Linked DNA regions of Struthio camelus. The protein of the gene in region 2 purifies or fractionates together with the protein of the main gene of each other region. This does not show direct contact. Links are inferred from orthologs where the notes say so. Each region holds a gene or a part of one and is shown on either strand. Other genes may lie near its edges.

Region 1 (14,127 bases), on a different chromosome or scaffold from region 2:
ATCAATCTCTAAGACTTTAGATGCAAGTTTTATTTTGGGTATACTGCTAATCGTGCAAGTGGAGGTATGCTTCAAAATGAATTCAAGTACCTTTCAGACAGAACTTCAATTAAAGTGACTGCTTGAGACATAAAGCATAAAGATGTCCCTATATATTTCAGATGTTTCTCACACTTATTCTTGTTCTACTTCTCTAGCGAAAATATTTGCACTGTGTCTTCTAGCCTTGTGCCTTCTAGGCCAAACTTCTTTTCCCATCTGATCTTATAACTAACAGATCATTTAACAAGAAACCAGCGTAATTCTCCAAATAGAACAAACTACCAGTTAAGCAGAGAATAATTTCTGATCCAGAAACTGCTGAAATAATAGAACAGAGACTGCAGAGAATGCTAGACAAATGCAAGAAATCCTTTACTTTTTTTTTTTAAAACACTTCTTCTAAGGAAAAAAGCACTGTTAAAGCCCTGAATGGGTGAGCTGCCAAACGCTATCTCATAATGCCTTCAGTAGTCATGAAAGGGAGTCATAAACTCCTCTCCCCGCCACCTTGCAAGGAACTACAAAGCAGGACAAAAAGAACGGCAATCCTTTGCGAACACTGAGAAACATCCAGCACACACTCAGCACTAGTGTAGGCACATGCTTACTTTTTGCCACGGTAACTCAAGCAAACACAACCGGAATGTAAAATTTTGTCTAGCTGGAAAGTTTATCCTGTTTATCCTGGCTTTTTTTGTACTGAAAAGAGGACAGGCTGGAAGGAGAAAAGAAACAAGAAGTTAGTGCATTGCTATCTTCTCTTCATCCATTTTGAGAGAAAGTCATTTCACATTTGGGGTTTTTTTGGCCATAGGGCAGGAAAAGGTTTTTCCTAAAAGCGATCAATCGGAGAAAGTGCCAGGTCACACACAATGAATTCACAACATGAAGGCAGCTTCAACATCCAGCCGTTGGGACTCTCTTGCCCTTCTACTCTCTTGTACATAGTACTTGTGAAGTACTATGTACCATAGCCTTTCTAACAGTCAAACCTAGATGGTGAGAACTCACATAAACAAAGAAAGGGAGCGCAGCGTAACAGCTTACAGAGCTTCCTGCACGCTTTCAGCTGGCTTCAAACTTAAATCCCCCTTTCGTTCCACGGTGCTCCCCACATACGCCTCTTCCACCCAGCCCATACATAAGGCAGCTAACATGAAGGATCCTGTGAACAACTGCCCCACGCGAGAGGTGGGGGGAAAAAAAACCCTGAAATCTAAGTCCAATTCTCTGTAGGGTATCTGAATTTTAACTGGTCCCAGAGCCTTATATCCTGTATAAATCATTTCCCGGGTAAGAATTATCTCTGCATGCCTGGAAACTTTGAGCAGTCATTATCAGCTAAGAGTTTGTATGAGGCTGAATCAGGATTCTTAACCTTACTTACGTGTTTTATGTTGTACCTGTTGTCTCTTACAGTGCTAACAGCAGAGCTGCAAAGAGCTTGACTTTGCATTGTAAGTTTTGTCGCTGTAAGAGATGCAGAATCTGATCCTAATTCAGCAACTGCAGATATATAAACCAGGATCAACGTTATACATAAACAACTAGCAATTCATCTTGGAGTACTTAAGACATCTGAAGTTGGGACCTGGTTTTCCAAGCATCTGATGGCTAAACCAATGTCACTTTAAACAGTATCGAGCCAATCACTCCAATCATTTGTTGCCTTGGCAAACTGAGACCAAGAAAAACATTTCTGAACGAGGAAGATAAGCAAAAGGAATTGATGGAAAACTTAATATGGAAAGTCCTACCACTGGAAGCAACAAAACAAACAAAAAGACGTCTAAGAAATACCAGAGTCAAGTAAAGAATTATTACCTATTTCTCAGTTGTTAGAACATGAAATATCAGGGTTAAACATGTGGAAATTTATACCAGGCAGGACACATCGCAGATACAATTTCATACCTAAGCATCATGGAATCTAGACAGCCAAATTAGGGGGAAAAAGAGGACAGCAGGTGAGAAAGCTGTTTTTGCAAGGACATGTGAGAGGAGCCAGCGAAGCAAAAGGAAACACAAAGACATTATCTCCTGGGAGGAAAATATAAGAAGGCATAAGGAAGAGTATTAGTATGGTTTTCTTCAAGTGGGGGGAAGAGTTATCATGACCAGCACCATCCATGGGTCACCAGCCTAAGCTTTAATTCAGCCAAATATTTCATCATGTTTAATATTTATTTTCAGGTTCTGCTGATGTCAAGAGCGCATGAGCACTTAAATATTTTACTGAATAGGAACAGGCTTAAGAAATCACTTAATGTTAAACAATATTCAAAAGTGCTTTGTTCAATTAAGAACTATGTTGCGTGAGCTAGTACACATTCAATCACGGCAGACTCGGCAGAGATACTTCCTTAATCTCGTATGTAATGAGTAGAAGAAAGAGAAGGAGGAAGGGAAGGGAAACGCTGCTAACATTTTACATTTTCATGAGAGATAAGAGAGCGCCGTTAGGGCACCAGTGCCACTTAAGCATTTATTAAAATCAGCAGGAGCGCTCTCTGCTCCTGCTTGACATGGCCACGGGAGCTTGACATGTCTGCTTGACATGGCCATGGGAGCCATGTCAGCCCCGAGGAAAGGAGGAAGGACCAGCTAGAAAGAAAGAGAAATGGGAAAAGGAGCATGGATCTCATTCCACATCCCCTAAAAGAATGGGCATATTTGAATAACAATGACGATAATTTAATCATTGCTTTGCATAGTTACGCAAGCCCATCAGTGATCATATGACATGTATTATTATCTGAACCCATGCAAAGTAGCAGCTTTATGAAATGCCAGGGCGATTGAAAGCATTTTACCTCCCTTTCTTTAAACTAACTAGAGTTGAAGCAGATCGCACCTACTTACATATTCAACACATACATTTTCCCCCCTCACTATTCTCTTTGATACTTTTATTCTATTGGTTTCCTGGATAACAAGAGACTATCTATGATCTGGGAAACCTGTCTCTTTACGTAAGAGCCCCATAGAACCACCTACAAATTTTCTTTTGGGCGAATACAATTTAGCATATGTAATCTGAGGGGAGAAACAATTCTGAAATTATAAAACCACAGCAATGCTCAAAGGAACCCACAAACTCCAAACAAATAGCTTTCCATTGTAAGCTTCATGGGAAAGTTGTTCATCTGACAGGATGTCAGCTCAGGGCAGTAACCAAGCAATTTGAGGATTTTTCTTTTCTAACGTTCACATAGTATTCTTTTGGAGGGAGAAAGTGTGTTAATTCCTTCTTTGCTTATTGTTTCCTCTAAGGAAATAATTGTTAGTTAAGTTTTGAAACTGCATTTCTTTTTTTAGAAGACATTACTTCCCTCTTCCTATAAACCAGCACAAAACTAGACTAAAATGAATGAGAAGTATCCAGTATATTTGCCACAGGACAAATCACAACAGTCAGACAGACAGAAGGCAAAGACAGGATAATAAAGTGACGAGGTAACTCTTTCCAGTTAACAGCCTTTACATTTTGATGTATTATTTCACCTGTCTGAAGCCACTCGGAAACCTGAATGCTATACTAAATAAAAGTGCTTGAGGTTTTTGAAAATCCCTTGTTTTGTTTTCCTTGGTCATTAAAAATATGAGGATAGGAAACTTGCATTTAAAGAACCAGATCCTGGAAAAAATTCTAGTTGCCTAATGTTCCTTAGTCCATATTAGGCTGTCCTCCTTTTCCCTAAGATATGTACTAAACAATGGCAGCACCAGGGACATCATTGCAGGAGTTAACGTGACTGTTTAAGTAAGAGAGGGGGAGCAAGATACATAGGCTAAGTTCCCATCTACATATGATCATATCATATCTACATATGATAATGATGTCACTTTGTTTTAAAATGTACAAACTAGATCAAAGAACTCATTTATTAACAAAAGGGTTATTGGCCCACTGGATCCATCAGCTGATTTAATAGGCTTTGACTAATAATGCCCCCATTGGCTGTCTTTTAGAGTTGCCGCCATCATGACCTGCAATATGCACGGAAGACATAACACCGGCAAAAAAAAAAAAATTCTTAACGATTCTTGTTGTTCTACCCTGAATTTTCTGCTGCATAACACAATACAAGGAAATGAAGCTAAAGACTTCTGAGCCTGTGGGCAGTTTGTGCCCACAATGCTGCTATGTGCTTAGTTGTCAATCCAAAACCATTAAAAATATTTCCTCCTGGGAAGAACTAGTTTTCTTCCTATTCTTTGCATCTGTGCAAGTAAGTCATCAATGGTGGAAGCCAGAATATTAATGGTCCATCTTCTCCCTGCAGGAAGCTGACTGCTCTCTGAAGTAGAGTAGCATCCTCACGTTTGCACACTTTCACCCAGAATCAGGGATATTAAGATATAATTTGGACACCTACTGTATAAAGAAGGCAACATGGAGATCCACTCCGACTTGTCCACTTACAAGGGACAACTCATTACTTAAAAAAAGCATCATACTTCAATGGAAAAGAACTATGCTGAGGATCAGGAAACCTGAAGTCTTTTATATACTTGATGAACCACCCTGAAAAAGTTGCTTTACTCTATACTTCCGTTTCCACTATTGCTTTTTTCTTGCTGACATAAGATAGCAGAACTGTGTACCTTATTTCTTTTTCAAGAGAAATAAGCAATGCAAAACACAGGTACTTTTTATCATAAATTGTCATTAGCTCTACAAACATCAGTCCTTGAAGTGAAATTACCAGAAACCACATGCAGACAAGTCTCATCTCCAACGCTCACTTCCCAAGGAGAAAAACTATCCCAAGAACTGCAACACTAAGGAGTCTGGCCTCATCGAGGTCCCTAACAATACTGTACACAAAGACAATGAGTCTTCAGGTAACACGGGGATCTGCTCAGAAAAGGCTGCCTACAAAACCGGAGCCAAAGGCAGTGCTTGCATTCTACTCCGAGTCCAGTCCAGATCGAGCTGGGAATTCAACAGTCACTCTGTTTCAGAAGTCACCTTGAACCTGTGTCAGTAGTGCCAACTTTAGGTTAATTCCATTAATTTCAAGAGAAAATAAATGCCTAGTGTAAATATATTAGAAAATTTCAAAAAAAAAAAACCCTCAGAAAATACAAAAAAAATCAAAAATAGATCCATTATTTAAAATACTTTTCTAGAGTCAAATTCAGGCTATTTTCCTCCTCAGCTTTGGTCTAAGACTTTTTGGCATATTCTGAGGCAGAACGTTAATGTCTAATATTACTATTATTTCAGCCACATAGTGGCAGACATTCAGATGGCCTGTTGTATAATTATATAGCTTCCTGCTGGAAGAGAAAGATCAATAGGAATTCAACAATATAGAAAGCTCATATTTTAAGCCGTTGCTTGTTGCCTGCTTTTTCATGTTCCAGATGTAAAAGAAAGCCACTGATGTTAATACATCCTGCCCACATGTTTTCTGTTCCATAATAGCAGCACAAATTGGAGCCTATGCCAGCTTTGTAGACTACTCCATCATTTAAACTCATTTTATAACCAATATTTTGAGAATTACTGGCCCAGCTTCCCCTATCACTCACACTAATTTTAAACTGATGAAATATAATTGGCTTCAGAGAAGAAACTCTTGATTTATACTACTGCAAATAAGAGAAGAATGCAGACCATCCTTTTCACAGAATTGGGTACTTCATTTAAATCTAATCAGCTCCTGAAGGTGGTGAAGCCCCAGCAGTCCCTGCTGCTCATTTGTTTCATACACACACACACACACACACACACACCCCTGCTTAGGGGTGTTCCCCACAGGGAATTAAATATCCCTATACACAGATGCTAAGGAAAGCACCAGCTTTCCTTATCTCAGTGCTTGTTTTTTCCCCCCCTCTCGCTGTCCTCTTAAGAGAGGAGAGTTTATGATCATTTATTCATGGTGCTGGAGCTACCAAAAAACTGATAACTCAGCAATCTCTGCAAAAAAAAAATTGTTACAGTAATTTTTCTCTTCATTCTCCATTATGTTGTTCAGGTTTAATATTGATCCACGTCACTTTGGCAAGAGATCACTAGAGAGATATCTGCTTTCAAACAGAATAAAGTTCCTTTTTCTAATCCTGATAGCAGGCAAAATTTCAGCCCTTTAAATGAGTCACTTGTCTAGGATAGAACATTGGCCACCTTACACCTCAAAGGAGAGCAATTCTGGCAGGGAAACACACACTCAAGATTCCCTTGGCAGCTTTCTACAATAAAATGGATATCTGAAGCCACTTGGGTTTGACATGAGAGACACAGGACTGATGGAGATGGTTTCACAGACAGGGCACACATGAGATGGCCACAGGGAGCCCCAAAGCAGTAACGATTCTTCAGCACGTCTCCACAGTTTACCCCTTGTGGGGTATATTATTCATGAATTTCTGGGAAACTAATCTTGAAAGGTTCCAACAGAAATAGTATGTTTTCAGAAGGGATTTGAAATGAAAGAGGATGCTTATTTAAGCACGCAAGAGGAGAGGGGGGATGACTGCAGCGCACAGGACCCAAGGCGACAAAAACATTTAAACACATGCTTGAAATTAAGCGTTAATTTAAATCCACAGCTGAACTGAGCTTTCAGAGGTAACCCAGAAGGAGGTGGGGGCTTCAAAGGTCCAGAGGTTTGGCTAGCCAGCCAGGGATGCTTGGACGTGCCCCTGGAAGGCGCGCGCTGGGCTGGGGCACTCTTGGCTAGCACTCCAGCGGGATTTGGGGCGCTCCTGTTTGCATTTGTGCCTGCAAGGCTGCGACTGGGGCAATTTCCCTCGTTTTGACCAGAGTCATAAAGCCAAGGGGAGCCCGTGACTGAAATCACAGAGGCTTAAAAGACATAATAATAATGTATTTGAAGTTGGACAGACTTTCCTACCCCTGAAAAGCTGATACACGTCCCTCAGACTGACCCCCCCCCCCCGGGATTCATCCTTACGTCGCCTCAGAGCAACGCGCGTTTTCTGACCGCAGGGCAATAACGTTGGGTGGGTTGGGGGGGGGGGGGCGTGGAGGAAAAAAAAGGGCAGATTGGGGCAGCCGTGACAAACTTTCTGCCAGGCCGCCTGCCGCCTCGCAGCGCCCCCCCCCCCTCCCGCGCAGGGACGCGCCCAACGCTCACGCTAACGGTCACGCTAACGGTCTCTAGCCGGCGCGAGCCCCTTACGAAAAGGACTGCTGCTGGACGGAGCCACCACGGCGGGCTTAGCCTGCGCCGCCGGCAGCTCGCCAGCAGCGGTCACAACGCGCGGGGAAAAGCGGTCCGGCATAACCCCAAACTCTTGGGTTTGGGGTGCTGTCTTTTTGGGGGGGCGGGGCGGTGCTGGCCTGCCGCCCCCAGCAGCGCGGCCACGCCGGGCCCGGCAGCTCCCCGGCGGAGCGGTGCCCCTGCGTCCCCCCTCCCAGGTTTCGGCAGCTGTGAGGCCCCGCGGACGGGGCGGCGGCGGCCACCTCCCCTCGTCCCCCGCCCCCCCCACACACACCTGCATCTCGGCCTCCTCCCGCGCCACGCAGCGGCGGCGATCCGGCGGCGGCGCCCGGCCCAGGCCCGCCAGGCTCAGCCGGCAGCCCATGGGGCGGCGGGGACAGCCGCCGGCCCCAGCCCCGGCGAGCGGGCGGGCGGCCCGCCCCTCAGCCGCCGCGGCCCGCCATGGCGCAGCTCCTTGCCCGGCCGCCTCTGCCTCCCTGCGCCTACCGGGGCCGGTGGCAGCAGACGGGCGCCGCGGGTGCTATAGAGCCGCCGGACTGGCGGAGCAGCGGCGTTGGCCGGCTGCGCGCACGGCTTTTTGGCCGGGGGGGGTGGCGGGGGGGGAGGGCAGAGAGGCGCCTCGCTGAGACGAGCAGCTCGGGCTCCCGCCGTGCCTGCTTAACGTCCGTCCCCAGGACGGCTTTGGGAGCGGGGTTTCAGGAGGGGGGCGAAGTCGGGCCGGGCCGGGGCGGCGGGGGAGGATTTCCCGCCGCTTACGCGCCGCCGGGCTGCCCGCGCGCGTTAGTTTAATTCCCTCTGGCTTTTTAACGCGACTTAATTTTCCCCGCCGGCGAAACGCCGCGCGCTGCTACCGGGCAGGAGGGGACAGGAGAGCGCGGCCGGCTGCGCAGGGGCTGCGGGCACCCCCTCGCCGCGGTTCCCGGGTCCCTGCGCCGCGAGCAAGGAGGACGCGGCGATCCGCCCTTCTCGGGCGCCCGGAGAAGCTCCAGCGGCGTCTGAGCGACCTCCCTCCCGCCTGCCGTGTGAAAAGGTGCCTGGGCCAGTGGGAGTTTGTTACCCGAACTTCGATGGCCTGGCGGCAGCGTCTTAAAATGGATTTGGAGGCACTGGGCCGATGGGTTTTGTTCTTCCACTGCCAGCAGGAGAGATCAGAAGTCGTTTCTAAACGTTTGCGTGGTGGTAACACCTGGCATGTTAGGATTTAGTTCAAAACAGCCTGTCTTTCATACAGCTAAAAAGGAAGAAACAGTTAAATTGTTTTCAACAGTGTTGTTAGTTATTTGTATCACTTAGGTGCTCTGACCCAGTGCTTGGCTCCCATTAGAGCAGGCGCTCTTTTATTTAAAGACACTTAAGCCATTTTGCTTCACAAAATGAGTTGTGTCGTTAGAGCAAGCAGCCTCGGATACATAATAATTTAAGTGGTGAACTCCAGCAGTCCTAACACTGGTAGGGCTTTTCTGGTTGCAGCAGGCAATTCAGGTATGCACTCGGTAGCCTACATGGGGGTGGTTTCTAGGCTGACAGCTTCTTTTCATTGCATAAATCTACCCGTCCCCCTGCTGCTATTACTCCAACACACTGTTCACAGAGTCTGAATGCACAAATATGTTATTTTTGCAGGACGAGGAACAGATTAAGGGAGGAAGGGTCACTGCCACAGCAAGTGCTGTTCTTAGGTAATGCCACGGTCTGATGTTGTCATGTAAGCTTTTCATTGAGAAGTCGCAAATCGTGAGTAACAAGCTATATTTGAAACTTCTCAAACCCATTGGAGTTATAATACAGGAATGTGTATGTGCGTAGGTGACTTCTATGAGCTAGTCAAAAGCAACCTCTCCAGCTAGCAGTTGTATTGGCTCATCCACTCCCAGTGGGGTTACTTCATCTGGTGCTTGCTGACTGCTCCACAGATAAAAGACCTTATATAGGAAGAGGAGAGACCTGAAGTCAGTATTGGTAGTTTGACAGTGTAGGAGTGGCTATGTATAGGTTTGAAATCCCTCTGCAGAAGCTAAGTGGTATAACTTCAGAAGTATCGACCCCTTGAGAAAGGATTTTTCACTGCTTTACCATATTTAAATTATCATTTCCATTCCTTTACTGCTTTTACTCTAAGTTTAATTACTGACAACTTCTGAAGATGGCCTGGTATATGTGAAATGGTTTGCAAAGCTGAACTACTCAAGTGAAGGTTTCTTGTCTCTGCTGCCTGTCCTAGGGGAAGAAAAAAAAAAAGAGGAGGAGGAGTAATTTTTGCTCAAAAGCAAAGTAGAATCAAGCATCCAGCTTCTGTGGGCATTAGAAGGGAACAGCGGATCATGCTTCCGGTAGATAACATTAAAGTTATGTCTATCTTGACTAGTGCTACCACTTCCTTTAGCAGACAGATTCTTCAGTGCTGCTGGGCAGCTTGTCTTCTAATCTTGCAAAAGAGACCACAGAGCTTTAGTACAACTTAGTTTAACGTGAGCAACTGAGAGCATTTTGGGACTCAAATTCTCTGTTCCCCTCTGGGTTACTCATTAACTCTGGCACCTGTATGCAAAAATACTCGGTGGTTATTTGTTTCATGATTACAAGAGAATTGCATTTTGGCTCTACAAGACTGTGTGCCTATCCTTGACATATTGAATGCTCTCAGTGTCCAATAATCAGGAATTCAGGGAACTCATCACCACAAACCTGATCCAGTGCAGCACCTGCAATGAAAAGGGTGTCTTTTCAAAGAAAATACTAAACCTGTTTTTATTTAAAGGAAGGGCACGCAAGTATTAATGACATATCATTATTTCAGTAAATATGAATGGAAGGAACTCTAGAGTTCCCCTTACTACTCAGTCCCCCCTCCTACTTCCTCCACCATTGCTAGCAGTTAGAAAAGGTACGTTTCAGCCTTCTCACAAGCAAAACCAGAGGGAGGTTAAGGAGGACCAAGGAGTCTGGGGAAAGAAAGAACAAACAATGCACTGATGTGTACGGGATTCACATTAACTAAGTAATCGTTGCTGAGACATAGGTCACTTCCTAGAGAATAATGACCATGGCCTGAGGCAAAGTGAGGGTTATTAGCATGAAGTCCACCATTAACTCTCCAGGAAATGCACAGGTCTGGAGTCATTAATGAAATTATAGCCAGTTATTTGGTGGGAGAGGGATTAGTCAGGCAAGACGAACCTTTTCCTTCTGGTGCCATTATTTTTACTGAGCAACACAAAAATGATATTTACTTCATGACTGCTTCTGTCTTGGAGGATCTTCAGAGAAAAAATCATTTGCACAGCAGTTAATCCAAATTCATTCAAAAGCCCGGGGAATTTTTATCATTAGTGCAGTGGGAACAGGAGCAGCTCCTAAATTTTGCATATATTGTCAGCATTCTGCAATTCTCAGCCTTCTGTGCTTCAAATACATAGCTTTCCTCAGTACCGAACAGTTTTGTTATTCCAGTGCCTGACTGCCAAAAGTCTCCCATTAACTAAGCAGTATGTGTTAAGGGACTGTTTCTTATTATTGACGTTATTTAGACTTGATGAAAATTACTTTTTTTTTTTAGAAGAAAAATGATACTCCTCTCATTCTCCCTGGACTGAGAGTATTAAGTAGGAGAGATCAAAATAAGTATACAAAAGATACACAGTAAGTATTAAATAGGAGAGACCAGTCTATGAGCGCTTTCAACAAACAGAGCTCAGCCAACAGTGTTTCGCGTGAACAATAACACATTGCATGTAAGGCATTGTGCCTTAAATGGCACAATTTAAGAGTCAAGTAAAAATAAAAAGAATGAACTCTTCATAACACTTTGCACTTTTCAAAGTCTGCACAAACAGTACAGCTTTGCGGTAAGGAGTTTAGAAGTAGCATCCAGTTCTACAGACTGAAGAAACAAGGTGCTCTCCTCCACAGCAGAAGAAATGCTATCTCAGATGTGCTGAGCTGTGCTAGGTCCCTGAGAGCGTCAGGCACCGATGCAAGGCACAAGCCACAGCTCTGGTAACCATGCAGGAGCAGTGCTGGTGTTAATCATTGTCCAAAACCCCCTTTTTCCTGAGCAGGAATGTGAACATGCAGAGTCGAGGGGAAATTAGGTTTTATCAGGTTTAATATTTCCAGACTGAATTCCAGACTCAGTACAATAATCATTAAATACTAGCTTATCTTAACAAACGTCGTTATGCTTTAAACAGGCTGACTCTGGTACCAGCAACGTTTTATACCCGTAGCTGCATGGAGCTTAGCCCTGGGGTGACCGATGCCCTGGCTGTTCTAATCAGGTTCCTGATCTGAGTACAGTATGGCTCCCTTCCAGCCTCTGTGCCAACGTATCCCCTTCCACGTATGGGGAGGTGGGATGAAACAAGCCTGAATCTCATCCTGAGAGGGCTGAAGTGTGCGTTAGGGCCTGGAAACCTCAAGTCCCTCAAGACAGACATAGCCACTTTACCTTGTCAGAATTCCTCCAGTTCCTCTATCCCTCTAATAAGCAACAATGTTATTGAGACACTTCTTCAAACTGGTCTGAGTTTTGTTTATAAAAAGCTGCATGAAAGTAATTCCCATCAGGAACAAAGAGCTGCATCTCCCACTTTTCCAAGACCTGTGACCACCCTGGGTCATGAACTGCAACCAGCAAATGCAAATAAACTAATTCCTGTGGATTGCTTTGATAGAAAGCACTGGACAACTTCACATGTTAAAAAGAAACACATCTTACCCATCCTCTTTTCTCTGTCCACCACTTCCATTAACTTCTGATGCCTCCAAAATAAAACCTAACCAAAAAAACTTTCCCCCAAAAGGACCAGTTTTAAGTGGCTTGAGAAAAGATGTCATTTTTCCTACTCTGCTATTCAGCTGCAGGAATACCTCCTTTTCCAGCCTCCCCTCCCATTTGGGGGGGGGGGGGGGAACCGCTCTTTTACCCAAAGCCAAAAATGTGGGAGGTCGAGAAAGGACAGACAGATGTGGCAAACTTAACCTCACTATGTCTGGGAAACAAAATGAAAAGACATGTTTTATAATCATGATATATGCGCCTGGAAAGATTAGAAAGAAAAAGGGGATCTGCTAAACCGTTTAAACTGTTCCCCATCTAGTTATGTCCTTGTTACTGCTTTGCACTCAATAATTCTCCTACCCCAAAGACAGCCTCACCCTGAAAGTATATAAACTAACAGTATCGCCCGCTGTCAAAAGCCACTTTACAGTGAGAGTCACACATCAAAAAGAGAAAGGCGAACCTCTGCATAAATCCAGATCTGAATGAGGATTGTTTAGGTTTTGTGTTTGTTCTTAAATCAGCTTAGCTATTCATCAGAAGAAAGAGCAAACACTTAAAGCTTACTTTGTTAAAATGGTGAAAATATGAGCCAAAAGCTCTGGTGGTACCTTAAAATTTTGAAAAAGAAATAAAAGTTTAAGAAGCCCAAACATGTTACATAACTCTGCTGGATTTCCAACAAAAACACACAGCCGTGCAACAGACAGTTAATGTCTGCAAAATTCCAGATTTTTTCTAATATGCCCTCTGGGGCCAATTTAATATTTTCCAGACCCTTTTCTTTCCCCCCCTCTTCTTGCTAAGAAACAGCAGTGAAATACCAGGAAATGGTCCTCAGCTGCTGTAATGTTTTCATTTGCCCAACGATAGCGCGTTTGAACTGTTTGCTGGCCCCTCCGCGCGAACCTTCTGGGGCTTTCGGCATACCAGGAGCAGGCAGGTGACTCCGGCTCCATCTCCGCCAGGCCTGCATTGCTCACTGCCAAACTTGTCAGGGCTCTGCAGGCTGCTTTCAGAAAAAAAATGGCACGCAAAGAACTGCCCTGCAGCAGCAGAACTGGGTACACTTTACAGAAGCTGCTCACGCACCAAACCCAATATACTTCATGCAAGACGACACCCTTGCAAGCCTTTCTCCCCACTCCATCCAAAAACAAAAAAAAAAACCTTTCCAAAGATGTTTGCTTGTTTACACCAAAGGAAAAAGAAAGTCCTGTGGTTGACATGTTTATCCTGATATTTATAAAGAAAAATGTTTGGTTTTACTCTCGGGTGTTTAGCGTTTATGGTCTCCCATGGGCTGTCGATGAGTGGGTGATAAGACACGTGGATCCAGAGCAGCTAACCACTAATTCAGTCCTTGCACAAGAATAAATACACAAGAGGAAGAAGGAAAGAAAAGTGATATCTCAAAAGTAAAACAAAAGTAGCTCTCTATGGACAAAGAGTATGTGGAGTGTGTGCATTAGTCTATAGGCCCCAAACTGCCAGCACTCGCTCCTAAGCGTATGCGATGCTGCTCTTGAAGTAAGCTCCAGTGTAAGCAGTCATGGTAATTGAATTTATGTATGTACTCACGTGTCTCTTTTTGCAAAACTGTCAGGCAGGCTGCTTGATGTGGGCAGCAGAAAAGCCACAAACAATGGAGTCTGATTAACTGCCAAGGCTGCAACCTTAACCTTTGCGAGTCGCCATTGCCCTGCTGAATTTCAGTCACTCCAGACTATAGCAGCAAGGCTGTTGGTGTTGCTCTCTCTTGCCACGGATCACCTCTCCAGAGTAACAGCTCAAGAGGCCAGGAAGGGCTTTGCCCACTCTGCACTGCACTGTCTACAAGTGAATCCTGCCTTGCTGCCAAGTTGAGACCTCTGTCTTTCACTTCCCTGGATGGAGAGGCGGAGGGAAGAGCGCCCGCTCCATCCTGACCACAGCGTGCACCCTCACAACCTTGCTCAGCTGGCTATGGGGTCCCAAGCCAGACACTCACACACTGACAACACTATACCTATGAAAATTAATTGTTACGATGTGAATGCACATACTCTGGCTCAAGGAATAAAACTTTCGCCTCTCTCCATTTTTCCTCTTGTCTTTTTCTGTCCT
Region 2 (14,918 bases):
TCAAGCCGCCCTGTCCCACGCACCGGCCCCGAGGACCCGGCCTCGTCCCGGCGCGCGTGCCGGTGCCGCGGGCGACGGCGTCCACGGCGGGCTGCCGTTCTCATCCGCTCTTTTCCCTCGGCGCACGGGAGCCGGACGTCTCCAAGCCCGAACTTGCCGGGCTTTCAACGGTAGCGCCCAGAGGACGCCAACCGGAGAGCCCATCTCCGGGCTTTCGAGCCTGGGAAAAAACCCTTCTTTCCAAAGCGGAAGGCGTCCCAGCAAATTCAAGCTGCCAGGGCAACGCGCTCGGGCCAAACGCGAACGTTTTCAGCTTTCCCGGATGGTGGAAACGGCCGGGGTCGGAAGGTGGCATCGCTACGCGCAAGCGATGCGCTGCCAGCTGCGGGCTGCGAGTCGACGCACGCGGCTCTCGGGGCGAAGCGCTCACCGGGGCGGCCAGCTCGGCAGCTCCGCGGCGGGGTCGGCTGACGGGAGGGACGTCGCGTCGGGCCACGCGCCGGCACAGATCGGCTCGGGGAAAAGAAGAAAACAAGAGCCGCGGAGCAGCTCGACCAGTTGGGCAAAGTTAAGCGCCAGGTTTGCACCAAATCCCTCGACGCGCTCGGGCTTTGCTCTTCTTAGACCTCCGCGCGGGCTCTCGCTCCCAGCCCCAGCGGCGGCAGAGGGGCGCGGGGCCGGCGGCCCTGCCAAGCCTCGGCGCTGCCCGGCCCCGCGTTTTCCCCTGCTACCTGCCGACCTTTGCATCCGAAAGCCGGCAGCCCGGGCACGGGAGCGGGCGTCCTCCCGCGCCGGCTCCCGACCGCGGCCGAGGCGCCGGGGGCTTCCACGGGATGCGATTCGGGAGTGGGAAGCAGGAGGACTCCAGCGGCGTCTCCGGTCGGCAGGGACCTTCCCAGGGAAAAACAGCCGCAAGAAAAACGGGAAGGCGCCGGATAAAGGCCCGGACGTTATCCGCAGCCACGTGGGAGCGTGGCACCCAGCTCTGGATGCTCGCGAGCCCCCCAAGGCAGACCGCTCTCGCCCCGGCGGCCCGAGCTGGGGGGCTCGCACCCCTTCCAGCGATCCCCTTTGGGGGCCCAGAGCACCCTGAAAAACGGAGCAATCCCACAGCAGCTTCAGCCGGGCTGCCAAAATCACGGCTTTCCTCTGCTGCCCGCCCCAGAGCTTGCGCAGCGCCAGCGCAACCTCCCCCGAGCGGCGGCGGGGTCCCAGCCGCCCCGTCCGCCCCCGCCGCGGGCCGACGGCTCCTCTCCGAGCCGGTGGCAGGATGCGGCCGGACCACCGGCGCGAAACCACCCGCGAACCGCGGCCAGGCGCGAGCGGCGCCCGGCGGGAAGCTCCGGACCCACGCCGCAGGCTGCACCGGGGCAGACACGTCCGTCCGTCCATCCATCCGGGGGCCCAGCGCTCCCGCAGGCGAAGCTCCCCGAACGGCGCGACACGCTCCCCCCTGCTCCTTCCCCGAGCCCGTCTGCGGGATGGGAGGGAGCGGGGGGCCGGAGACGCCGGGGTGGGGGAAAGCGGAGGAAGATGAAGAAAAAGAAAAAAAAAAACCTATCCAAGCTCAGCAGAGCGGAGCAGAGGCCAGGAGCGTCCTTCATCGCGTTAAGAGGAGCTGGGCTTTGCCGGCTCCCCCCAGCTCTCCCGCATCTCCCGCCGGGGACGGCCGAAAAGAAACCCCTCGCCGGCTGCGGTGCCTCGGAGGGGGCCGGCGGCGGGCAAGGGCAGGAGGGAAGATGCCGCACGTGCATTTCAAGCCCGATGAGCAAGTTCGGAGGAGGCCCGAGGGAAAGGGCTGCAGCCAGAGCCGTCACGTCCCGCACCGCTCCCTAGAGATGCTGGATGTCAACCGCCGGCGGGGGCAAGGACGGGACCGCGCTCGCCGGCGCCGGGGCAGGCATGCCCCTTTCCGGGTGTTATCGCAGGTTGTTTTAAGGAGGCGGCGAACCCCCCCCCCCCCGCACTGTTTGCTTCTCTCTCTTGCCTCTCCGTCCCTTTCCAGCCGCTGCACCCCACGACGGCTGGAGCCGGCGGCTGCCGCCCCGCGCCGCGGACTCCACCTCAGCAGGCCTCCAAACGTCTCGCCCCGGCCGAGGGGACAGCCGTGCTCCTCTTCCCGCTTCGGTCCCGGATACGGAGGGGACGTCGCCTCGGCGTCAGCCCCCGGCCGGCGGCGCGCGGCGCCTTTCCCGCGGCCCTCCCGGCTCCCGGAGCCCTTCGGCTCGCCGACGGGCGCCTCCGTTTCACAGGCGGCTTTAGCTTCCGCGGTTAAGAAAGGGTCATTCCCGCAGGAAAAACGCGCGCGGGCTCCGCGCACGTCCAGCCTGCTCGCCCGCGGCCTGCCTAGCCGGCGCTTCAAGTCTTCTCCCAGCGGTCTACTCGAAGTTTCTTTAAACTTCGGAAACAAGAAAAAAACAACAACAACACACACACAAAAAAAAAAAAACGCAACCCAAAAAAACAGCCGACGACGTCCTCACCCTCTCCACGAGATCTTATCAACGGTTATTATGAGTAACACCTACAATTACCCTAATCGAAAGAAAAACGTTTCTCTTTTATCTCATCAGCGAGTCGGCTCTGCTCGTTCTCAGAGACCGTTGGGCTGCTCCTCTCCTCCTGCCCCCTTCAGCTGCCTGCGTCGGCCCTGAGAGAGGAAAAGGGTTTTGCTGCTCCTTCTTTAAAAAAAAGAGAAAAAAAAAAAAAAAAAAGAGAGAAGATGTTGCTGTCAAACCACAAAACGCGCCTGGGGGATACTCGGAGGCAGGTGGAGGCCCCGAAGGCGCTCGAGATGCTGCTCGAGGCCTCGCCGACGCGGCCGGGTGGGGGGGGGAGGCTTTTCCTGCTCGTTCTCACCCACTTCCCACAAAATTCACGTGCTTTTAGCGCGCCGGAGCGGCGCGTTTCCCCCCCCCACCCCGACCCCCTATGTCGTCCGGTCTCCTCGCGTCGGCCCACGGCCTTCCCGGGCCTCCGCGCCGGCCGACGCCGTTCCAGTGGCGGTGCCCTGCCGCCGTCACACCTCACCCACCGCCGCCCGGCCTGCGGGGGCTCTTCCCCCCCCCCCACCTCCCCGTTTGTTTTTTGGCACGAGGACCCGGCCCCTCTTCGTTCTCGCTAGACCTGCGAGCAACAGCCGTTCCTATTAATAGCCGTCGGGGCGGTATCGACAAAAAGCGCGGCCAGACCCCGCGCGGCGGCTGCATCCCGCTCCCTCTCCCCCCCACCACCCCGGCTGTGTTTCTCTCGCTTCCCACGCCGGGGAGGGAAGCCGGGGGGGGGGAACCCCGCCGGCGGAGCGCGCCCCGCCGAGCCGCTAACCCAACGCGGCGGCGCGGCCCCGCGTGTCGGCCCAGGCGTCGAGCGGCCGCGCCGGACGGGGCGGCCCGGTCGACGCGAACCCGCCGGGCGCAGGGCCACCGAGAGCCCGGCGCCGTCCGAGGGCGCGGGAGCAGCAGCGGGGCGCCCCGACGGCCCCCCCAAGCCCCGTCGAGGGGGCGGCGGGCGAGCGGGAGCGGCGCCGTCGGGCGGCCGAGGACCGGGCTCGCCGGGCGCCCCTTGGCCTCGCCGCCGCCCGCGGCCGCCGCGCCGCAGCGGCCCCGACGGCTCCGGCGCCGCCGCACCGGCTCTGCCCCCCGCTCCCCGCCGCTGCCCCGCGGCGGCCGCGCCCCCGGCGGGCGGCAGGGCAGGGCGGGCCCGGCGGCGGCCCGACGCGCTCAGCGCACGGATGAACGGCGGAAGGTTGGGGAAGGGGGAGGGGAGCCGGGGCCGGGCCGGTCCCCGCCGGCCGAGCACTCACCTCCGGCGGGCTCCGGTGCGCGGCCGCCGCCGCCGCGGCGCGGCGGGCAGGGGGCGAGGGCAGGGCAGCGGCGCTCAGCCCGCCGCCGCGTACTCCATGCGGCGCCGGCGGGGCCTCCGGGCTCGGCTGGGCCGGCGGCGGCGGCGGCGGCGGCGGAAGGGGAGGAGGAAACAAAGCGGCCGCCGCCGCCCCGGGGTTCCGCTGCCCGACGCGGCGCCGCGAAACGTCCGCTGCGCTGCGCTGCGCTGCGGCGCTGCCGGGCGGGCGGCGGCGCGGCCGCTGCCGCGGGGCCGAGGGGCGCGGGCTCGGCCCGGGGCGGCGCTGCCGGGGCCGGCGGGGCCTGCTGCCAGGAAGCGACGCCCGGAATCGGTGCGCCCGGAGCAGCGCGCCTGCGCCGCGCCGCCACGGCCCGACCCCGCCGCCGCCCGCCGCCCGCCGCCCGCCGCCCGCCGCCCGCCGCCGCCGCCGCCGCCGCCGCCCGGGCAGCGCGGCCGCGCCACCTGCCGGGCCACGAGCGGAGCCGCGGAGCGCGGCGGCGGGGGGGGGGTGAGGGGGCGGCCGGGCCCGCGCACACGCCGCCCTTCCCGGCAGCGCACGACGCTGCTTGGGCTTCCTGACCGGCTCCGGGCGGCTCCGTAGCGTCTCCTGGGCACTTCCCTGCCGTTTCCCTCCTTGCACGGGCCGTGCGCGCCTCGTCACTTACTGGCTCCAGCCGCGCTCTAGCTCTGCAAGTGGCCTGCGCTGATTTCGCAAACGCCGAGCGGGTGCCCACCAGCCCGAACCCGGCACCCCCAGCGCGCCCCAGCGCGCGCGGCTCGCTGCAGCTCCCCGGCCCTGGCACCCGCCGCACAGCCTGTCTGCAGGGTCGCCCGGGGTCAAACGCGGCTGGACCCCGGCTCAGGCCGCTCGCTGCCTTTGGAGGGGACGGGGCACGGGCGGCGCGTCTCGGGGAGGAGGCCGCGAAACGCTGCGGACGCCCGGCCTGGCTGCGCGGTGGGTGAGGGTGGGGGGAGCAGGCCCATCATCCCGCTCCACGCGCCAGACTCCAAATCGCGAGAACCGTGCCAAAATTAGGCCGGCGCCTCCAGGCAGCAGCTGCAGGTGGGAGCTGCAAAGACCCTGGAAAACAGGCTTAAAAAGCCCGACTCCCTTTTGGCTTGGCCCTGAGAAGCTGCCGGCGGTGACAGGAGACGGGGGTCCCTGGGGGACGGGCAGGGCTCGGCGCAGCGGGCAGCCCTAGGCGGGCGGCGGGAGCCTCGCGGTGCGGCGCTTTCCTCCGCAGCCGGGAGGCAATGCTGCGCCCCGCCAGGCCACGGCTCTCCCGGCGCTTCTCCCACGAGGCTCGTTTACCGCCGTCCCTCCCTCCGGCCAAAGCGCCCCATCCAGCGACGAGGCGTTCGCAGACTAAATCATGCCTCGCAGGCTCAATTAGAAAGAAAAAGCGCTTGTCACTTCCTGCCTCGTATCGCAAAACGCCGCGGCCATGTAGGGCAAAGCAGGAAGCGCCGGCGCGCGCCTCTCTTCGGTTTTTTGCTTGCTCTCGTTTCTTTCCTTGCTTCGGGATCGTCCCGCCCCGACGCTGGCGACCGCAAGTCAGCGGGCTGCAAGCGTGCTTCGCCAGTTGCCATCCAATCGCTTTACAAACCGGCGCGGCTCCCTGCTCGCCGCTCGGCCTGGGGGACGCTTCCCGGCGCCTGCCGCCCCGAGCGGCCCCCGGGGCCCGCCTGCCCTGCCAGCCCGGCAGGACCCGCGCCAGCCGCTCTGAATAATGCCATTGTGCGGGAAGGGGTGGCCTTGGACTTCCCTGCACGGAGCGCTCTCCTCCCCGCTTCGCCCCGGGGCTGTTAGGCAGGGGGTGCAGGGACCCTGCCCGCCCTCGCCTCCGCCCCTCTCCGCTGAGATAGGGGCTGAGCGCCGCTCCGAAAACAGCCCCGCGGCCCGGCCCTGCGCGGCTGCCGGGGGGGGATATCTCCCTGCCGCTCGCACGCGACCTCCCCGTCCATCGGACGGTCTCTCCTGCCTGGCCCGGCGGTGAGGATGAGCGCGAGCAGAGCAAGCAGAGAAGGAAGAAAGAAAAGAGATAACAAAGCGATGGAGACGTCCCGCGAAGGGGGCGAGGGGACCGCAGGGATGCGGGAGGAAAGGCAACAGGGAGGCTGGAGATGCCGGTACCCAGGGAGCGGATTGTAAAGCCCCGTTCACTTCTGGAGGGCGCTTTCCTGTGCACGGTGTGCGGGAAAGAGCCTGCGACCCGGTTTCGCCGGGTGTCGGGTGAGCCCGTGCCGGTCGTGCAGACCTGACTCCCGCCAGGCCCTGAGCCCCGTGCGAGGAGCTGGCGCATCGCCCCGTGGTTCGCAGGATGCACCCCCCGGAGAGGGGCAGGGAAGGCCCCGCCAGCAGCAGGTCGGCTTGCTTCCCCGCTCGGCCTCACGCAGCTACCAAGCGGAGCAGCCCTGGGAGGAAGTGAAACCAGCTCGTGCATCTGTTTGCACCAGAAATGCACCCACAGATGCAGACACAAACCCACGCACGCACCCATAGAAATGCACCCACCCAAGCTTGCGTGCCCATAAACGCAGGGCCGAGCGTGCGCGCGCCAGCACCCCTCCGCGCCCTCACGCACTGGCAAACGCAGCCCAACGCGGGCACCTGCGCGGACGTACCTGCCCGAGAGGTGCGTGCCCGTGTGCGCACGCAGGCGTCCGGATGCGCGCACACATCCGCGGTGCACGCAGAGCCGCAGCATCACCACTCGCTCATCGGGGAAAAATGCTTTGCCTAGGTGCCCAGGCTGGCCCGGTCTGGAGGGGGCGGGCAGGGAGAATGGGGATGAGGCTCGGGATTTTCCCTTGTGTGGGGGCTGCAAGGAGTTTTGGGGGGCAGATTTCTCTTGCAATAGTAACTGCTGTGCAGAAGCACCTTTCCGGGCACAGCCCCGCACGCGGCCTGCCGGCTCGGGGCATCCCTTCTCCCGGGCCCTGCCTCTCTTCTGGGAAGCAGCACTGGGACTTTGGGACCTTGGCTCCTGAAGGAAAACACAAAATGTGAACCCGGCCCGGTGGGGAACTGTGCAGGTGGCTCCAGGCTTTTGCAATCCGTCAGACCTAGAAGGAGGCCTGGAGAAATAGCCCCACGACCGCGTTGTCCTGCCGTGCTGGTTTTAGGATGGTGATCAGCAGCCCCTGCTGTGTCCTTCTCCCTTTCCTTCTCTCCTCCTTGATGGTGAATGGACACAAACAGCCTCCTCCTCTTTGGGTTTGTCTCGTTCGCTCGTGGGCTCTGCTGCACCTCCTGGCTTATTGCGCGACGGCCAACAACCTCGCGTGTCCAGAGGTCCTTGGAAGACGGCTCTTGGGCCGAGGTGAGCAGCCCAGCGGCCCCACCGGGGTTCAGAGGAGACCTGCGGCTGCCCAAGCACACAGACCCTTGTGCCCCGGGCTACGTCGTGCAACTCCCCAGTGTGCTGTCGGACTGCCGTGTTGGGCTGATTTCCGTTCCTGCTGGAAGTGTTGATCTCCTACCTGGCAGGAGGTCCCAGGACCTGAGTGGGTTCAAAACTGATCCGGCTGGGGAAAGGCCAGATTTGCTTTAAGCTGGGTGAAGTCACCGGTCCCAGCGACTGCAAGCCATGAATGCTGGGGCTGCTGGAAGGACGGAAGGAAAGGGAGGACGTACGGCCAAGTTTAGAGGGGAAGGTGGAGAAAGCGGGACTACGGGGACAGTAGAAATGCCACAGTGCAAAGGAAGGGTGAGGGGAACGATGCTCGGGACACAGCTCGGGACCCCACCTTCAATAGTCTGGGAAAGGGTCCCTGCCCGTGCCACGGCCTGGCCTGGGCCGCTGCGTCGGAGCCACCCTGTTTGGAGGGCTGGATTTGGAGAAGACGTGGGCAGCCACCTCCTTGCTTTGCACCAGGAGAGGGGGCCCTTCAGCTGGTGGGAATCAGCCTGCAGGAAAAGGGAAAGTAAAGAAAGGAAAAACTGCGCAGCAGCGCCTGTTGTCGCTGGGGGTCCAGCCGAGGAGGAGCCGAACTTCCTCGCAGGGCAGAGAGCCAAGGCCAGGCTTTTGGCGGAGCTGAGTCGGCAGGATGGCGAGGAGGCGCAGGGCTGCTCTCGGCCGCGCTTCCGGGGAAAGGAGGACGAGAAGGAGGGACGAGGCCCGGGAGACGCTGCGCTCTGCTGGGATGTGGCAGATCTGGCTTGCGCAGGCCAGATCAGTGGTCCTGAGCTCCCTCGTCCGGCCCAGCGGGAGTGGGCTGGGGGCCAAGGGGGGCTTCTGACCCTTCCCCAACCGATGTTCCCGGTGCCACCAGGAAGACAAGCAGTATCTCACCCACAGCTTGCCCCGAGGCACCTCGTCCGTAACCCCCTGGATCTTGCTTCTTTTGGCCCGTAAACACCTCCTTCGTCCCTGCAGCAGCGATTCCCGTCCTGAGAATAAAATCCTGACCGTGTAATATTCCCACGCCAGGCCAGGAGGGACCCTGGGCACCCGTCCACGGTGAGTCACCCGCCGTAGCGATCCGGGATGCGGGCCGGCAGGAAAGTGATGCTGAAGGCTTTGCCTTTGTCCTGGAGGAAGGGATGCAAGAGCCAGAGTCCTCTGCCCCGTCTCCCCGATGAGACCTGGTGCGAGAGGAGCAGCACGTGGCAGCCTGCGGGCGCTGCGAAGGCTGGTTTTACGCAAACGGCCCGGCAGGTTCGCCCAGGCCCCTCCGGGGAACGCGCCGGTGCCAGACCAGCTCGGCGTGGGGTGGCATCTCAGCGACCGCGTGCTGGCAGCCAAGCGCTGGACGCTTTGGGGAGTGCTTAAGCGTCTAAAACAGGGGATAGACCTGAAGCCAGGTTTCCTAAAGGAGCGAAGCGTGGGCAGTCACCGATCCTGCGGATCTGTCTCGTCTCTGGATCTCCTGGCTGGTTTTAGCCCTGGCTGGCAGTGGCGCTTGTGCCTCCAGGGCTTTCGGACAGTGCAGCTTGGGCAAGAGCCGGTATCCAGAGACAGGAGAGCCCCGCAGACGAGAAGGTTGCTGTATTGGCTGTACTAGACAGCTGAGAATCCACACTCATGGGCATGAACTTCCTAGGGAAAGCCCGAGTGAAGGATCCCAGCTTCCTGGACCCTGGGGAATTCACCTGCGAGCTGATGCCGCGGGAGGGCGTTCGCGTCACGAACACGAGAGACGGGGACGCAGATGCTCCAGAAGCGCCCAAGGGACTTGGGAACCGGCGTCCGCCTCGCGGCTCTCGCCGTGCCGGCCCCGGAGCCCTCTCCGGTGCCGAGGGCAGCCTCGTTTCGAAGCCTCGCCAGCGGAGCCGTCATTTTGAGGACGATTTTAATTAAAGCAGGGAGGGGAGCAAGTGGGGATATTGCCTCTCGGCACGTCGCTCTTCTCCTGAGGGCGATCGGGCCAGACTGCGCTCTGCCCGCGTCCCTCCAGCACCGGAGAGATCGGTACCCGGCCCTCTTCGTTTGCTAGTAAAATCTGGGCTCTGATTTCATGTGTGTCCCAAATTACCTCTTCGCTGCCCCCGTGCTGCCCGTTTTTGGCCCGTGCCCGATGCGGGGCACGCTGCAGGGCAGAGCGTTGTTCCCTGCACCCATCCCAGGGCTTTTTGGCTCGCGCTGCCTCTGCTCGCTGGACCAGGCTCTGCGGGGACGCCCGCGCTCCTGGCGGTGCAGGCGTCCCCCCGGGCTGCTCCCCGCTGCCTCCGTCGTCCACGGATGCGTGCATGCATGGCTGCGTGGGGCGCGGGCGGGAGGGGGCCGGCTCGCAGTGCCAGGCAGCCAGAGGAAAGGCAGGTTTCGGGGCAGTTCCCAGGAGCCCAGAGCTCTCCTCAGACAGCCCCTTGCGTGCGGGGAGCGGCTATCTTGCCATCTCTTTCTTCCCGTCTTAACCTGGGGCCAAACTCCATCCTTGCTTGCTTTCATGTTTTCTGAGGAACATGGTGCTTAATTGTGCCTCTAATGACTTGGCGCAATCAATTAGCCAAAACACCCTCTCCTTTCCAGAGGGAAGAGGGAGGAGGGATGGGAGGAGGATAGCTCAGGACTGAGTTGGGAGCTCTCAAGAATTAGTAATTCCTGCCAAGCGTGAGGAATAATGGGGGGATGAGATCCAAGCCAAAGTGCTTGGGGATGCGAGGGGTGTGGGCGGGCAGTGGTACCCGGGTGGTACCCGGGGGACAGAGCAGTGGGCACCAAATCCAGCGGGGATGATGTGGGGAACGGAGATGCCAGCTTGCATCCGAATCCTGCTTCCCCAGCGCTGGAGTATGTGGGCCTGGGGCTCTGGGCTGAGGCCCTCGCAGCTTTAGCGGGCTCAACTCGGCCGGCTCGAGCTCTCCCCTGTCTGTGGGTCCAGCCTGGGCAGCGCTGAGGACCAGGCGCCTGCTCCAACCCTGCTCCGAGAGAAACTGCCCTGGGGAGGCTGCAGCGGCTCCGGCACCCAGAGACTGCTCCGTGCCGGAGCAGTCCTCCTTGGGATCTCGCTGGCGTGCCCGAAAGCGTCGCTGACCCCTGCCGCGCTCACCGCCACGGGGGCACCGCGTGAACACCCCTTTAGGTGCTGCAGGGCCCCACCAGCCAGGTGAGACCCTGCGGTTTTATCGGTGGCCCGAGGGAGGAGGGAGCACTTTGCATGGGAGCCCAGGAGGAGCGTCGCAGCATCAGTCTGGATCAGGATAAGCGGCTAAGGGGGGGGCGACACAGAAAGCAGGTGACACCCCCTTCCGCACCAAGGAAACCTGTTGAAGGCCCCAGATAGGTTTCAGCTGTATCTCCAACAGCACTTGGGAGACTGAACTCAATTTCTTTTTTTTCTTTTCCTTGGCAGAAACGTGCAGCTTTTGGTAGTTTTTACAGGCATCCAAGGGTTAATCCCGGAGGGCAGATGATATCTGATAGCAGATCTGGGGAGGGGGGGATAAACAGACAGCAAAATGGAAGAGGGAGCCAACATCAGGATGATGGAGCTAGGTTAGAAACACAGGATGTGCTTTTAACCAGGCGGGTCGTTAAATGTTGGAGCAACCCCCCTGGGGAGGTGGTGGGAATGCCAAAAGTTGGCATCCAGGGAGGAAGGACTGTTCTGCAGGTGGCTCCTCTAGCCTGGGTCCCGGCTGAGCCCAGGAGTTATAGTGTGGGGTTTCCTGGCGAGGAGATGCCCACCGGCCCGAATTCCCGGCTCTGGGTGCGAAGGAGGTCTCCATGGGCTCTTGGATCTCTCACAAGACGTGGGGAGACAGTTCTGGACAGTGTCTGAGACCTCTGCCTGTCCTGCCATCTCGAGGAAGGACCCCCACGCAACGCTCCCACCCATGTTCACGGGTCCCGGCATCCCTCCTGCTGGAAGAGGGGTCAGCCGCAAAAAGAACATGTTGCCAAAGACTTAAGTGAAGCAAGACCAGACTGGTGGGGGAAGCCTTGCTGCCTCCCCTTTACGGGGGAAACTGAGGCATGGAGCGAGGCAGGCCATAAGCTGCTGCGCACGAAGCACCTCTGGAGGGTGCAGACTGGGGGAAAGGGGTGAGCTCGGGCACGCGGGATCCTGTGAGCCGCCTTTGGCTTCGGTGGGGAGAGAGGGAAGACGCTCGCGGCACGGCGAGGCAGTCCAACACCCAAGCTATCCCCCTCTCGCGCGGGGTGCGCTGCCGGCGCGGCTGGCCACCCCAGCTACTCGAGCCCGCGGGCAGCGTGCCTGACGTTGCAGGCTTTGGCCACCAAGGTGCTGTGATCAGCCTTTGTCCCGTTGCCCGGCTTGGCGACTTCCTTCCCAGGTGCTTGCTCGAAATCAGTGGAGGAAAAGGGAGGAAAAACAACCACTGAAAATCCCCGAGTGAAAAAAAAACCCAGAACCAGAAGGGGGAGGGGAAATTTGCAGAAAATCGATCCCTCTCTACAACATTTCCCAGGAAGCTCATTTCCCATTCCCTCTGAGGAATGGGCCAGATCCTGCCAGGCAAAGGGCTGTATCGGGGCTTGGTGACCAGCGTGTGGCCTCGTGGGAGGAGCAGGTTGGCCTGGGCTGCTGCCGGGCGCTGGGGCAGCCTCGCACCATGGGCTGTGGTCACTGTAGCCCCCTTCCTCGGGGGGTATCTCATGTGCTCAGGTGATTAAAACCACAGCTGGGGGTGATGCTGTGGCTCTCGGGGGACACTGGAGCCCTCCTGGGAAGGACCCCCAAGGCCAGTGCATCATCCCAAGGACAGACGAGCTACAGAAGGAGGTGCAGAACTGTGGCTACTGCGGGGAGGAACGTGTCTCAGCCCATGCAAAGGGACAATCAAGATCAAAACTTCCCCACCACATGCCTTAGGGTCCTCTACAGCCTCTCCCAGCCTACAGGTTTACTCTCCGTGGCATGGATGCAAGGAGGCCACGGTTTAAAGGTCAGGCTCTGATTCACTTTCCAGGTATGACCGGGATGCTCTCGAAAAGAGAAACAAGAGCTCTGAGTCCTCTTTTTTTCTTTCTTGGGACCCCTTTAGAGTAGGACTTGCAAGTGCCTAACACATCTGCTGACCCTGCAGACACCCAGCCCTGCAGGGAGCTTCTTCACTGCTCTGCAGTTGTTTAGCAGCTTGAAGGCTGGCGAGTTTCTATCCCCAGCCAGTTTTTAAAATGAGCGGCTCCTTCTCAGCGCCCACCTCCCCTGGCTCGCAGACGCCGTTCAACGCCAGGAGGTGCCGGCCGGGTCCTTTCTGCCAAAACTGCGGAAGTGCTTGAGAAAGAAGGTATGTGGCTGCCTGGATATTGCCCTGCTGGAATGAGGGACCCGTGAGCATCACCACCTTTGTAAGAGGATGTAGAGCCAAGCTGTGATGGCCTAATTGGCCAGTTCATTTTAAAGCCAACAATAAAAGCAATTGGCTGTGGCGTGATAAAATCTCCCCTAGCTTATCACCATGCCAATTCCGGTAAAGAAATCACAGCACTTGCAGTCAAGCTGGGGATTAGAGACTGGAGGATTTAACTGAGGAAGATCACTAGGGAAAAGGCAGAGATAGGGGAGCAAGAGTCCCTTATCTATTGCAAGCAATGTGGGCTTTCATGAGACAAACTGATGGATTTGTTTCTCCGGAGGCTGCGGGGAAGAGGAAGAGGCAAAGAGTTAAGATCTGCCCAGGGAGAGGGCACCGCAGAAGGAACCAGAGATCCTTGCTCCTTCCTCGCAGAAGAGCCCTCAGGGCTGGGGTCTCCTGACACTGCTCTGCTCCAGAGCTATCGCAGAGCAAAGAGCAGTGCAGAGCTTGGGACACCCTCCCTTGATGCCTGGCCTGTGCTCGCTGCTCTCCTCCAGCCCAGGGCTGCGGGGTCTGTGCCCTGCATCATCCTCCGTACCCCGCAGGCCTGGCTGCATGCCTGGAGTCACCCGGTCTGCAAGTGACAGCACCCAAGTGTGCAGCACGGAGAGCCCCCGCGTGCCGGGGAGCCTGCCGAGGTACATGGCTGAGAAAATGGCTGGCAAAGGAGCCAGCTCAGCTTTGCTTCCCCAACCGTATTGTCTAGGAACGGGCAGGACCTGTTGTTGGGGTGCTGGGCTGAGCTCTGCTCTTGCAGCCACAGTGCTCCCGTGCCCAGGTGGTAGAGGCAAACAAGAGAGGAGCAGAAGGCAGCGGGGGAAGACAAACGGCCTCTGTTAGCCTCAGAGTAGCTGGGATTGAAGGGTCCCAGCAAGAAAACTGGGACCTTACCTGCAGTCACCAGGCTTTTGAAGGGACCAGGATACCCAAGACGACATGTGCATGCAAGACCAGACTTCCACAGCGGCTCTGCTCCAGGCACGAGCGCAGACCGAGGCCGCAGCAGACGGGCTGCTGTTCTCTGCAGGGGCCGGGGCTCAGCATGGCTCCCCGTGTGCCTCGGAGGCTGGTAGCGAAGGCTCCAGCTCCCCAAAACCGCATGGGATGGCTCCGACTGCCATCAAAGGGAGGGAGAGACGCAAAATGAAGACTGAGGTTTAAAGAAGTGGGGTGTTTCCCCTCTCACAGCAGGAAGAGAAGGACTACTTGAGGAAAGGCACCTGGATGGGGAGGCCCAGTAAGTCTGCCCATTTCTCTCCCCTCGAGCCCTTTCTCTTCCCCTTCCCCATCTTGAAATGGGGGCGACTTTTCATCCCAGCTCTCTGGCCTCTGGGTCTGCAGGCTCTGCCCCACGCAGATTGGCAGCAGTGACCCCGAGGAGGCCACCAGCCCTTGATAAGTGCACCTCAGGGAGGCCTTGCACTGACAAGGGGCTGTTTCACCTCAACAACGTTAATATTAATCTGCTTATCTGCCCTGGCGCTATAAAACACCCAGTGGGAAAAAAATTTCCCACTGCTCTTTCTTTATATCTGCGCTTGCTTATTGCAGGCCTTATCAGCAAACCCAGCCAGAATTTAGGGCAGCAAAGTCACGCAACGGCGCCAGCAAACGGGGCCTCTGGTCCTACACCAGAATCAACATCGCATGTTCACCTAACGGCTTCAGGGAGGGCTGCAGCTGGAGGGAAAGCATCTTTCTACAGGGCTGCTGGGCCAAGTCCATGAGAACCTCTCCACTACCTGGGGATGGTGTGACATGCTGCCACCGGCTGCCTGGCAGTCCTGGCTCTCTTTTGAATCAGTGAGTTAAGGACTGAGACCTAAACCTGTCTCCAGGATGATCCCAGCCTCTCTATGTTATAGCTGAATGCTGGCTTTAGCATGGCCCCTGTGGCGTCGAGGGGCTTCATGACTAGGTCCCTGCAAAGGTAGAGGCAATGTTTTTCAGCTAACGGATGTCATGGGTTGCGCTAAACCATCCTTCTACGTTTCCTCCAAGGCCCCTGAAGGGCGGCTGGAATATGTCAAAGCTTAGACCTGTCTCTCAAACCATGGCCTGGACCTTCCTGTTCTCACCTTTATTTTTCCTGCAGTATCGGGATTGTGACATTGAATGGTGAAGACGAAGCCCATGTGGCACTGGACGAGGTGACTCCAGCTGGTTAAATGAATTCAAGTGGGCCTGAGGTTGTATCTTTTCAACGTTTCATAACAAAATGGTGACCCCAGATCCAAGGCACCCTGCCTCTTTCAGCCCACTTGAAGTGGCTACATCAGTATCTTTATTAAACCTAACCAGACTTTCTCTTCCA

Evidence for each region.
Region 1: the proteins of CSK (region 2) and TNS3 purify together in Homo sapiens (affinity purification with mass spectrometry; 4 studies listed by BioGRID and IntAct, with this or other methods). This does not show direct contact. The link is inferred for Struthio camelus from reciprocal best matches to the Homo sapiens genes CSK and TNS3.

Annotation. Positions count from the first base shown.
Region 1 is NC_090943.1:64,493,338-64,507,464, forward strand, and holds the start of TNS3 (tensin-3), read right to left. Parts: upstream 7,634-14,127; 5' UTR 7,606-7,633; coding exon 7,516-7,605; intron 1-7,515. UniProt on the Homo sapiens protein: May act as a protein phosphatase and/or a lipid phosphatase. Involved in the dissociation of the integrin-tensin-actin complex. EGF activates TNS4 and down-regulates TNS3 which results in capping the tail of ITGB1.
Region 2 is NC_090953.1:23,418,330-23,433,247, forward strand, and holds the start of CSK (tyrosine-protein kinase CSK), read right to left. Parts: upstream 6,538-14,918; 5' UTR 6,523-6,537; coding exon 6,466-6,522; intron 6,159-6,465; exon of another isoform or gene 6,144-6,158; coding exon of another isoform or gene 6,099-6,143; intron 5,205-6,098; exon of another isoform or gene 5,153-5,204; intron 3,947-5,152; exon of another isoform or gene 3,803-3,946; intron 2,663-3,802; exon of another isoform or gene 2,535-2,662; intron 1-2,534. UniProt on the Homo sapiens protein: Non-receptor tyrosine-protein kinase that plays an important role in the regulation of cell growth, differentiation, migration and immune response.